3 linked regions of the Drosophila melanogaster genome follow. The protein of the gene in region 3 interacts with the protein of the main gene of each other region in a pairwise test. Each region holds a gene or a part of one and is shown on either strand. Other genes may lie near its edges.

Region 1 (4,387 bases), on a different chromosome or scaffold from region 3:
TTTATGCACCTGGCAGGTAAAAGTTTTTGCACCGATTTTGACGATAGTCTGGACCGTAGTTTTATGGCGAGCAAGCTGCAATTGGCGGGATTACGGCGTCATTACAGGTAAATTCAGTTGGCGTCCCTTTTTGTCTTTGGCGGCCATTCCGTTATTCGTCTGCGGCAAGACTGGCAACCCTTGTGTTAAGGGAGGATTTTCGGAATCTCATGATCAGCTGTTCGGGGAAATACCATTACTTTAACTGCAGCGTAGTTTGTTCAAACCTATTATTTCAGGATTATTTCATTCAAAACTATTTAACCCGATGATCAGTTCTGTGTTTTCCAAGTAAGGTTTAATAATATCGATAAATGATGAAAATAATAAGTTCTTAAAGAAATTCTAGTCTTTTTGTTAAAAAGTCATATTTTAATAAAAAGCTGCCTTTCCCGTGTATGATTTAAATAAAATATTACCAAGAGTACGATCTGAAATGCAAAAAACCTGTGTGGGAACCATTTAAGTTTACAACCAATTACCAAGCGCTTGCAATTGTTTTGAACATGCTATTTAATCGTTGATTTCCTTTGATGCTTTGTAGAATTACAAAAATAAATATAAAAACTTGTACATATGTAAGTGTTAGTTACCTCTACTGTAGGAAATGCAATACACCTTTTATCGAAATTTTAAAAATATATATATGCCAGATATTTAGTTTCTTGTCTTTTATGCTCTGTGTATGTTAGTTTCTTGTTTTACGTACACCGTTTTCTGGAGGGCGAGGGCAGTTTGTAAAACTATGCTCAACTTAACATATATACGCAAAGGGTGCACATTCATTTGGAATTGCAAATACCATAAAGATCAAATTTTGAGTTCGCTTAAGCTCGCTAGAGTGGCGCAGCCTTCGAGGCAGCTGATTGAACTGATAGATATTAAAGCACATAATCGGGGGGGAAGGCAACCGAATTAGCCACTTACACTAGGTGGCGATGGGACCGTAGCAGAGGGATCGGAATCGTATAATTAAATAAATAACGCTAGAGTACGCCTAATTGGTTTAGATCCATGTGCTAGGTTTTGATTTGTGTGTGTCCGTTTTTGTTACTCCATCGCTTTTGAGTGTATCTTGTGTGGGAGTGTGGAACGAAAGCTGGAGCTTGGGTAATCGAGAGTGTGGGATGGACTGCCCGTAGTTAGTCATCCAGATCTATATCGGAGTCATCCGAGTCGTAGCCTCCACGTATTGTCTTCTGTGGGCGGTTGATGAATGGTTTGCGTTTCACATCTGGTGGCTGCATCAGATCGCCCTTGTAGTCAATGGCCCCCGAGTGGGCGATGCGCCACTCCAGCATTTCGGTGGCGAAGTCGTCGCAGTTGCCCAGATCGGTGAATCCGACAATGAAGTCCTTGGTCTTGCTGTCCTTCACCAGGGCGATGGTGGGTATCACCTTGATGCGCAGTCGCTGGGTGAGGAATGGAGTCTTTTCGGCATTCACCTTGCAAAACTTGGCCTCCACGTGCTTGGCCGCGAGGATCTTCAGGTGCATGTCCACGATCTTGCAGCGCTCGGTGCTGTCGCGGTAAAAGTGGCAAACAATGTTGGGCGACTTTTTCGACATCTCGAAGAACTCTTTTTCGTCGGCCAGCTCGGTGTAGGTGCCATGACCCTGGAAAAGATTAGCAATTTTGGGGATTAATGAGATTGTTGCGCTAACAAGGTTTTCTTTGAAAGTTAATTTTTACATATATATTTAAGTTTTGAGCTATTTAAGCTGGTAGCCCAATTTGAAAACTAATTTGAATTAATCGAAGCAAGTGTCGCGAATGTCTTAAAAGTCGCATGTTGAATACCATTTGGTCATATACCACTTAGAGAACAATCTCGAAGTATCTTCAATAATTGAGTGTTGTAAGAGATGATCACCTACGTTTCTGAGCCACTCCTGCTTCTTGTTGTTCAGGTCCTTCATTTCGCGGAGCCGCTGCTCCCGCAGGACCTTTAGGTCATCCGAATCGAGGTTGTCCAGGCGGTCGAGCTGCTGGTCCAGCTGCTGCTCGATGGTCTTGGCGGCCGTGAACAGTTGGTTCTCCAGGATGTTGGCCATGTTGTCCTCTTCCAGTTGCTGCTCCTCTGCGTGTCTTGATGTTTCTCCGTTATTTGCACTCTGCGTGTGGTGTGTTCGTGTTGGCGTCAATGGTTGCGCGTGTGTGCGTGTGGATCCGGCACAAATGGAAAGGCGTAGTCATGGAGCCGCAGATGCGTCATGTTTTGTGGAAAATTCAGTTAAGTAAGGCATGTTTTGGGGAAAGCGCAGCGCATTTCGATGGAGGCGCCCACAAATCGATTATTTAGACGGTACTCACCTTTTATTTTCACTTATTTCATTGATTTTACTCCTTAAAAGTTTATTTAGACGTATGGATTCGTGTGACCGTTTGACTTTACATTGGAAAATACAAAAGGCTCCTTAATGTTCAAAATACCATGACAGTATTATTTCCCGTCAGCTGTTTCTTTACGAACCCCTGGCCACACTGCCGCCCTTTGATGGTTATTCCGATAGTGCAATATATTTAGTTGATCAAAGGTGAATTAAAGATGAAGCCAGCCTTGACAACGGTCAATGCCACTGGCAAACACACAGCCTCCGTGATATTCTTCCACGGATCCGGCGACACCGGCCCCAATGTTCTGGAATGGGTGCGCTTCCTTATCGGCCGGAATCTGGAGTACCCGCACATAAAGATAATATATCCCACGGCTCCCAAACAGAAGTACACCCCGCTGGACGGGGAACTATCCAACGTGTGGTTTGACCGCAAGTCCGTGAACATTGCCGCATCGGAAAGCAAGAAGAGCATGTCCCAGTGTTATGATGCGGTCAATCAGCTGATCGACGAGGAGGTGGCCAGCGGCATACCGCTGAACAGGATCGTTGTGGGCGGATTCTCGATGGGCGGAGCCTTGGCTCTGCACACGGGCTACCATTTGAGACGCAGCTTGGCCGGCGTATTCGCACATTCCTCGTTCCTGAACCGCGGCTCCGTTGTCTATGATTCCCTGGCCAACGGCAAAGACGAATCTTTTCCCGAGCTGCGAATGTATCACGGGGAACGCGATACTCTGGTACCTAAGGACTGGGGTCTGGAAACCTTCGAGAACCTAACGAAACTGGGTGTCAAGGGCACATTTCATCCATTGAGGAACACACTGCACGAACTGAAAACTGCCTCCATCACGGATCTGCAGCAATGGATTTATGAAAAACTACCTCCGCTGGAAAACCAAGTACAGAACAAACTCTGAGTGGCAAGTACTTACATATACTTAGGTAAACTTTAATAGTAATTTATTTATTCTTCTATTTCAGTATTTGGCATGAAACCCGTGCATTTTGAAGCACCACAGAGGCAAGTCTTTCCACCTGTCATCTTTTTATACTGCCCTTCTCCGCCATAATGAAAGCATAACTCCTCCTTGGCCGCAATATCCCTTGCTGCGAAAATACCTAAAAAATTACACATGACGAGAGAAGTCGGATCAGAATTAGCAATAAAACTTGCCTATTTTTGGTATGGGACAGTCTATTCGTACAGCTGCTATATGACAGTTCGGTTCGCAGCTGTGGTTCAGGTAGCGTCCGATGTTTCCACGTCTTGATGGATCAACGATGGTCACCTGTTGCTTCTTGTCGCTAGTGTATTCATTAAGCACCAGGATATAGTTCATCAGGCCTAGTTTTTCATTATCATGCAAGCGGCTTCTTGCCTCGGGAACCGTTAAAAGTTCTCCGGCATATTCGCAAATGTATCCTCCTTTTGTAATTTTCGCTGTAGTCCGTAGTCCTTTGGATCCGTACACGGGCGAATCGAATATTTCCAAATGTTTCCTCGGGCCTGAGTACACAAGCCGATTGGAGCACGTGTTTCTACAGCATTTGCACATGTCATTGCACTCAATGACAGGATTTGCGGAATTCCGAAGAATTAATTCGCTGCCATCTTCTGTGAACTCATATTGGCCTCCATGTGCACAGACTTCGCTGTTTTCGCAGGCTCCTTTGCAGTGACAGGGGTTCAAAAGAACAGAATTGTACTCGTCCGCCAAGAATTTGAATTCTTTACTTCCATCGCTGGGCATCAACACAGATTCCAATATGTAATCGAGTCCATCTGGGTGCTCATAGTCGTCATTCGGAGCTGTTTCAGATTCGTCCATTTTTAAAGTTTGTTTACATTACATTCTAGTACGAGAATTGATTCCCCATTTAATGGATGTTGCGCTTTCTGAAGAATATTACACTTTATTGCCTCGGTCACACTCTGAATTTAAAAATGTTCCCTTATTCGGAAGAAAATTGTTTATTTTTTATGATGCAACACATTTGTATATCCTTGC
Region 2 (3,268 bases), on a different chromosome or scaffold from region 3:
CAAACAGAATATTCGAAATGTCAGACGCTGTGGACAAAATGTTGGCGGGAATGGGTAAATATATCTTTAAACCACCGACACGCGTTCTATTCCGTGCTTCCAATTTCAGCGGCCAATCGGCAGACCATGAACCGCCAGCTGGCTAAGATAGACGAGATAATGGAGCGGTCGAACAACACATTGCTCCACATCGAGTCCAACAGCAAGGCATTCAGTCAGAATGTGGCTTTGTCGGAGACCCAGAAGATGTACAACCTCAGGCCGGAGGCTGAGATGACCCTGTCCAAGATCCTGGAGAACTTCAAGCTGCTCATGTCTAGCAGTGACCAGCGGGAGGAGACATACAGCGCTCTGGAGGGCTGCCTGGCCTACAGGCATCGCGTGGAGCACCTTGGCAGCTCCGTGCGTAAGCTGGTGGCGCTCTACGACACCGTGGGCCAGATGAAGAACTCACAGGAAGAGCAGTATGCCAGCGAGGATTCCCCCTAGCTCATCCATTTTTAGAATTTATTATTATGTTATAGTTGAAAAATAATTTAAATAAATTAAACATTTGATTTGTATTTAAAGCTCTTTAAGCGAGGTTTTCAAATCATGGCCATATTGTAGCTGCTGACTTGGAGAAGCGTATAGGTAAGCACCTCTACGAACATCTCCAGGCGAGCGGCAAGACTCCCGGTGGCGAGTATCTCATTGGGATTGGGCAGCTGGAGGCTGTTGGAGCGCAGGTAGTTGAGCTGTTCCATATTGGCGGCTATGGTCAGAAGCTTCTCCTGCTGCTCGGATGTAAAAGCATCTGGCGGAGACTCACCGCCGGTTGGCATGAGCTTTTCCAGCTGCTGCGCAAATCCATGGAGCTGCGTCAGCTTCTGCTTGTATATGGATTCTGTGGTGTCCAGAGCGGCTGCCTCGTCGTAGATCTTGGCCAGCTTTCGCTGGAAACCCTTAAAATCATTGTACACGTCCACGGCACTGCGCTGCTCCTCCAGACGCGTCAGACTCAGCGAAACGTTGGATGTGTTGATGCCCATGGCCACCGACTCGTCTGCTCCTCGCAGGAGCGTTGAGTTGGTACGTTGTAGCTCCCGCTTCTTGGGCATTTTCTGCAGGTTGGCCGGGTACTCTTCCAAGGTCTTGAAGAGCTCCGCATAGTCGGCTACCGAGCTAAGATCCCTCGGGGGCGTAGTGGCTGCTGCCTCCTCCTCCATCATCTGCTGCAGGCTGTCAAAGAAGGCCCCCGGTTTCATCACCGTCTTGGATACGCACACGTCCTTTAGGTTTCTCACATGTTGCGCGTACTTTCTGTACAACTTGGATGAAATGCTGCTGAAATCTACATTAGTTTCCATTTTTATTGTTTACGCTTCACTTCTCCTTTGATAACTTCGTTTGAATGGCCTGCGCCGCATCTATCGGAAATCGATAACGCAAGCTGTGGCGGTTTAAATTTGAAAACAAAAGTTCTATACAAATTATGATCGCTTACGGATTACTTGGGTTTTTATTTTTAAAAGCACAATTTTTAGAGTGCACTACACGTATTTCAAGTCTTCAGTGGTTTTAACGAGATCTTAATAGGGAGTTTATACCATATGAAAGTTTGGACTAACATGGCTGTTTGAATTCTGAGTCTCAGAACTACAAGGTGCATCTCATCCATACTCGGACTGAACGGTGAGCGAAAACTGACCCTTGGGAATTGAATTGGCATGGTACCAGATGCGTGTGTCCACCAACACAGCATCTCCGGGCTCCACATAGAAGGAGAAGGGCTGACACTGGTGGTCACATTCAGGAGCAGGTGCCAGAAACCAGGTCTTGTTGCCACTTAACTGAGCTTGCCACAACAGGCGGGGAATGTAATCAAGCTATAATAATTGAAAGATTAGTCATAATATTCGTTGATTTCTTGGTTTTTACTTACATGCATCACAGCCCCTTGCTCGTAGCCCATTAATATGAAGTCCGTGTGAGGCATTTCAGCATCGAAGGGCAGGAAATGCGGGCGGGGATACAGCTTTCTGAGCTCCGCCAGGACGGCCGGCTGGCAGACACTCCAGCCCACGAACCAGGGCACTCCTTGAGTAAGATTTGAACGCTCCGCGGACATGGAAAACACATGCTTCAGCGACTTGAGATCAGAGTTGAAGTGCAGAAACTGGCAATCTGAGTCCATTGCTCCCGGGACACTTTCGTACAATTCTTTTATGAAGGCAAAGCTGAGGTTCTTTTGTGCTGGCCAGTGAGCCACCGCCCTCTTCACAATGATGGGCATTGAGGAGTACGCGTGCGGTGCAAACTCCTCCATGGTGAGATTGGCCAAGATCAGGGGAGCCCTCACCCCTTTACAAAACTCGCAGTCACTAATGGGCCTGGTGGCCTCCCATACCAAGTAGTTGTTGGGCAGAAAGCAACGCACTCCGAGCAGGAACGAGATGGTCTCATAAAAGACCGGGGTGGCCACCATGATGAAGAACACGATGCCCAGCAGCCAGAGCAGATTCAACCGGTTCGGGTTGTGGTCCATGTCGCGCGTTTTGCGGAATGCCTCCTCCAGCTCCTGTGTGGACACCAGACCAGTCCGCATCACATTACGATGCAGAGCGTCCAGTTGATCAGCTAAGTCCGGACCCAAGCGCTCCCGAACCGCCTGCATTCGGTTGCCCAGCGTCCGCGTGGGACGGCTGATGAACTGGACCGTTCAGCCCTTTATTATTTTGCATTTCTTCAGTACTTATTATTCCTCACCAGAAACATTTCCAATTGATAGTCCTTCCCCTTTGTTTTGCTTCCAAACAGCTGAGAACGATAGGCTCATGGCGCGAGCTCTTTTGCCTATCGACTACAGAGTTGTCAGGGCTTCATAATTTACCAAATATTTCGTTTTGGTAGTTTAGATATTTACAACTTAAAATGTTAATAGGGCTGTAAATGATGTGCGGGTATAAGTATTGCTTTCACTTATATTGTCAAAAATATTTAAGTAATTTTTAACATTTATACACTGAACTAATTTTAGTCACGCTTAGTATTTTTTCTGGCTTCAGTCACAAACTGTGCCCATGCACTCGCCAGCCCTGTCAGCCGTTCTTCGTATATTTTAACGGTTCGCCCGCGGTCACACTTGTCATTCACTTTTCGCTCTTTGCTCGGTCGTAGTATCGGCCAGCAGCTAAAAATTTGGAAAGATCGTTCGGGCTGGGATTTTCTGCTGATTAGTACAAAGCCAACGTGACAATAACTCAAAAATGTGTCTTGAATAGTGCGT
Region 3 (4,984 bases):
TGCCAGACATGCAGCCATATGCTCCGGCTACTGCACTCCTGGTCCGTCGATATGTTCAAGGATTTTTTCATGCTTCCAGGCATGCCGATGACGTATGTTGCGTCCTGCTCTAAAATTTGAGCTCAGAGTTACCTCAGGAAATTGCTGTATAGGGAATGTAGGAATCTAACTTTGAGTGGGAAAATCAGGAAATTTTGAAATTAGGTTCGATCATGATTGGAGAAAAATGATGTTGTATGCAGGCAGTTCAAAAATTGGTTAAGTGTAAATATGAATAGCCCAATATATCCCGTCCGCAACTTAATGCATTAAAATTAACTTTATACCCAATTCTACCGATATTCCTGAAAAATGTTAAATTCTCGTTCCCACTTAGACTAACTGTGTAACGGGTCGGTGAACTTAACTATATCGTTCTCTCTTGTTTTTTTTTTATGATGTACGTCTTTATAAGATCCCACAGTGTAACCTTTGGTGAGAGTAACTTAAATATTTCCTATTATTTATTGTACCACTCTGCGCCTTTGCGGTTTTAAAATTGTTGACATAAAGTAAATCGATTAAAGTCCACATTTGTAGAGCCAATGCAATCAAAATTTTAGCGAATCAGATTAAAGCCATTACTTCAATTCTTCAATTTAAGTAGTACTTTTTTTCTCTTTTGTCCCACTGTATTACATCTAATTTAACTGTCTAATGTCTAATAAAATCAAGGCTAAATAGTTGTGGCTAAATTGTGATGGAAATCTGAAATGGTTTAAATTCTATAGGTTGGATTTTCCAAACCAAAATTAGACACCGGACATAAGAAGTAGAAGGGAAAACCGCAGAGTGAACTCAAATATGTATTCTGCTCCGGAAACGCCGAGTCTAACTCTATCCACCACTCAATTCGCGGAATGATTTCCCCAAAACCACCACTCCATCGTGGCCCCGCTCCACCCGCACACGTTCACACATACATAGTACACCCTCTCAAAGCGACTCCATGGCGAGGCAACAAACGAACAAACAAACAAGCACGCAGCGCAGACAAACAGACTGACGTACGTGGGCCTGAGAAATTCACACTCAGTTGAAACGGAACGAAATCGGAGGTCGAGTGACTGGCAACGCGATAAATCTCATGGGTTGCTGGCTGCGGAGCCTGGCCGCCTGTTCGTTAGAGTCCATGAATCGAAATTGTGTGGCTCAAGTGACGACGGTGTCTTTTTCGACTTCGTTCTCCCGTTCGATGCCTTAATTCAAAAATTAGTGTTGGTTACGTTGCACTCGCTTCAATTGACGAGTGCGATACTCGCATGAAGATGATACTTTCCGTCTGGGAAATAACTTGTTTTTAATATCTGTCGGTAGGTAGGACATACTTGGAAAACAAAAACATTATATGTACTTGCTGCTCAAAAGTTGAGTTTGGGGCGGAGCTAGTACCGACTCCGGGCTCGGGTTCTTTGCTTTCGTCTTTTTCGCTCCGCCGGCGCTTCTGATTCGAACAACTAGAGCAGTGAGCAGCATCATTTAGATTTAGACCGGAATTGTAACAGGCGCACAGCGCCGATAGACCGGTTCATCGACTCGCCGCGATTATTCTCGCCCTCTAACTGTCCCGCTCTGCCGGAGCTCGGGTTGTCTCGCTCGCCCGCGGTGAGCTTTCGGATGGAGCTTTGCGGTTAAGGGCCAATTTTGAAGGCAATTTTGTAATCCAAAAATTTCAAATTTGAGTTCTTTTTTTCTCTTTCGCTGTTTTACTTTTCTCCTGTAAACAAAAGAATTATTGTGCATTTTTATAGAAAGTTTTTGTAAGCGTTAATGTGAAATAATTGTGTTTGGTATTTTTTCTGTTTTTTTTGTTGAATACTCAAAAAGTTGCTCTTACAATTGAATTTACTTATAATGTCGATTAAGTGCGCGCTCGTATCGATAGTTTAGCTTCTATCGATTACCCAATGACAGATATTGCACAATTGCAGCCCAACGCTTAAATCAGCTGGCTCTGCTCGGCTGAGTTTGGCAGAAATCAAAAATTCTAATTTCTCTCTAACCGACACAAGACAAGCAGCAGACAACTGGAATAGTGAAGGGGAATCTTTCAGGCATTGATTGAACACATCGCGGTTTCTTTAGACTCGTTACGCCTTTGGAAAATGCTACCAAGTCCACTGGCGTTGCAAAATTCTGCGATAAAAACAACAAAGAAGCGACGTCTGAAATAGGAGCAACAAAAAAAACGAAATAATCAATTAAAATCAAAGTGAAAGCGAGTGTTTTTCGCGGAGTGTCTATAACGTTAAACAGTTCATCAGGATTCCGATTGCTACAAAGGACAAAACCAAAAGTTGCGTGAACAGCTGCAACAGCTGCGTGGGCAGCGACGCGGCAGAGACGCCGGCATAAGCTGCGCAGCAACAGCAAAAACAACAAGCTTTTCGGTCTTTTTCTGTTTTCTTTCCAACAATGGAAATGCGTGAGGTCTTGAGTCGCGAGGGCAGAGAGGCGAAAAATCTGCTCGTCTACCAGTTTTGCGATGAGACAACCTCAAGTGGTGCTACCAGTGGTTTCGGATCCACGGGCGGCGACGTTGGAGGAGGATCAGGTGGCGATGGACCAGCTGTTGGAAGCGGAGGCGTTCTTTTAAACGGTGACTGTAAGAACCATCAACTGTTGCTATTGAATATCCGGTACTTGAGGAGTTTTTCTCTTAGTTATAAAATTACTTTTAGGAAGAGACTCATGTAAAATGCTTAGTCATTACATGATAGTGGCAACTATTGTCTAAAAAATTGCTTATAATATATATAACGTATGTTGTATAAATTAGTAGGCTTAATTTGTTTTAAAATGGTTAATTTAGGTATTCCTCATGTCATAACCTTATGAAAACGTTACAATTACCGAGTGTTCGACTTTTAGCAAATATGATATTTTATTTGAAATTCCCATTAATAACTTAAATCTTTTGTAGGCTATCGAAAGCCACCCATGGTGCCACCGAAGTCGCCCAACGGCACGCCCAAAAACTGTCAATCGCCCACTTCCCCACGTCTGAAATCCTCTGCCAGTGTAGGATGCGGCGGAGGCAGTAGTGGTGGGCCACGCGTGCGCAGCGCCTCCACAGGAAGGGACAAGAAGTCGGAGCTGCAGGCCAGATACTGGGCCTTGCTATTCGGAAATTTGCAGAGAGCTATTAATGAGATTTATCAGACAGTGGAGTGCTATGAAAACATTTCCAGTTGCCAAGAGACTATTTTGGTGCTTGAAAACTATGTGCGAGATTTTAAGGCGCTTTGCGAATGGTTCAAAGTGTCGTGGGACTATGAATCTCGACCACTACAACAGCGTCCCCAAAGCCTGGCTTGGGAAGTGCGCAAGAGCAATCCCACTCCCAGAGTTCGGACTAGAAGTCTCTGCAGCCCCAACAACTCGGGCAAATCCAGTCCAGCCTTGTTTCCGGGTACTCAATCCGGAGAAACCTCACCGTTCTGTGATAATGGACAGATTTCGCCCAGGAAATTACTGCGTGCCTATGACCAAGTGCCAAAGGGAGCAATGCGACTGAATGTCAGAGAACTTTTTGCAGCCAGCAAGAGAGCTACTCAAGGATCATCTCAATCTGATAACATGGAGGGTCCTCTAGATTTAAGTGGCGACAAATCTAATTTCGTGTTGCGCAGCACGCAGTATGCCCAAACGGATTTGGAGGATCCACATCTAACTCTGGCGGATGTCAGGGAGAAAATGCGCATGGAGGCGGAGGAAAGAGAAGCTCAAAATAGAATTGAAAATGAGGCTTTAGAAGAAGTGACCATTCCAATAGACAATGAAGACGCAACGGAAAGCTTAAACAAACAAGAGCCATCTTCGCTCGAACTACCAATTCATAACGTAGCGGATTTAAGCAAAGAACCTGAATTAATGGAAGCAGCTTCAGAAGCAACTGCTCTAGAGATGACTGTGGCTTCTCTGGAGTCTATGGAAAACGCCTTACTTAATCAGCAGGCAAATAAGGAGCCCACGCCGCCAAGCACTGTCATTAAACCACTTGCGGAAATTTTGAAGAAACCACAACCCTTAAATCCTTTATCAGGAAACAATGTTCAAAACAGTCCCCTTAAGTATTCCAGTGTGCTAAATCGTCCTTCGAAGAAGATGATTCCACCACCTGGAGGAGTAGCAGCTCAGAAGACCATATCAACCAAACCGGGTCTGGTAAAACCGAATTTAACGACTACAGTCAATGGTTTACGTAGCACCAAAACAGCTACAGCTCCTCCTGCAATAAAAACAACTGGAAGAAGTGGATTACAGCGACATCCCAGGCCCTCCAGCAAAACCGAGTGCTATGGTCCACCCAACAATGTGGCATCTAGATTGTCGGCACGCTCCCGAACCATGTTGGAAATAAATGGAAGAAACACCAATTCAAGTGCTAGAACTTTACCGAAGAAAACTAATCCAGGTTCCATTTTAAGCACGGCCACACGAACTAAAATGAGTTCCAGACTAAGTTCTAGAGAGGATATAACTAGTTCCACATCCACTCTGAAAGCTAGCAATGAACAACTTTCAAATTCAAGAAACACTTTGAAGGCGGAGAATCAACATTCCGAACCAAAACAGATTCAACCTCCGACTGATGCTGACGATGGATGGTTGACTGTAAAAAACCGAAGAAGGACCAGCATGCATTGGGCAAACAGATTCAATCAGCCCACAGGCTATGCCAGTTTGCCGACGTTGGCGTTGTTGAACGAGCAGCAAAAGGAGCAGGAGCACAAAGAAAAGCAGAAAGGCGAAGACGACGGCAAAGTTATCGTCAAAACAATATCGGCTAAAACTAAAGCTCCAATCGAAGTGGCTAAGGCTAAAGCGAAGACATCAATAGTCATAACGCGACCAGAAATCAAAAATGCCAAAGCTAAGGTTAATTCATTTCCCGTTCAGAAAAGCAACACTAATCAAGTGAAGAAACCAGAGAAGCAGGAAA

Evidence for each region.
Region 1: the proteins of ssp3 (region 3) and CG4511 interact in a two-hybrid assay, tested with the Drosophila melanogaster proteins (one large-scale study listed by BioGRID).
Region 2: the proteins of ssp3 (region 3) and msd5 interact in a two-hybrid assay, tested with the Drosophila melanogaster proteins (one large-scale study listed by BioGRID).

Annotation. Positions count from the first base shown.
Region 1 is NT_033777.3:10,852,562-10,856,948, reverse strand, and holds CG4511 (uncharacterized protein), read right to left. Parts: upstream 2,449-4,387; 5' UTR 2,353-2,448; intron 2,205-2,352; exon of another isoform or gene 2,154-2,204; 5' UTR 2,094-2,153; coding exon 1,917-2,093; intron 1,656-1,916; coding exon 1,182-1,655; 3' UTR 537-1,181; downstream 1-536. Other genes in the region: CG6567 (uncharacterized protein), read left to right, coding at 2,588-3,295; CG4565 (uncharacterized protein), read right to left, coding at 3,343-3,497, 3,553-4,207. UniProt on the Drosophila melanogaster protein: Has redox activity with thioredoxin. Required for male fertility and maturation of sperm past the canoe stage during spermiogenesis.
Region 2 is NT_037436.4:1,331,765-1,335,032, forward strand, and holds msd5 (mitotic spindle density 5), read right to left. Parts: upstream 1,383-3,268; 5' UTR 1,350-1,382; coding exon 588-1,349; 3' UTR 543-587; downstream 1-542. Other genes in the region: msd1 (mitotic spindle density 1), read left to right, coding at 18-54, 110-489; CG2211 (uncharacterized protein), read right to left, coding at 1,653-1,868, 1,925-2,692, 2,749-2,757.
Region 3 is NT_033779.5:18,940,937-18,945,920, reverse strand, and holds the start of ssp3 (short spindle 3), read left to right. Parts: upstream 1-1,960; 5' UTR 1,961-2,454; coding exon 2,455-2,644; intron 2,645-2,962; coding exon 2,963-4,984.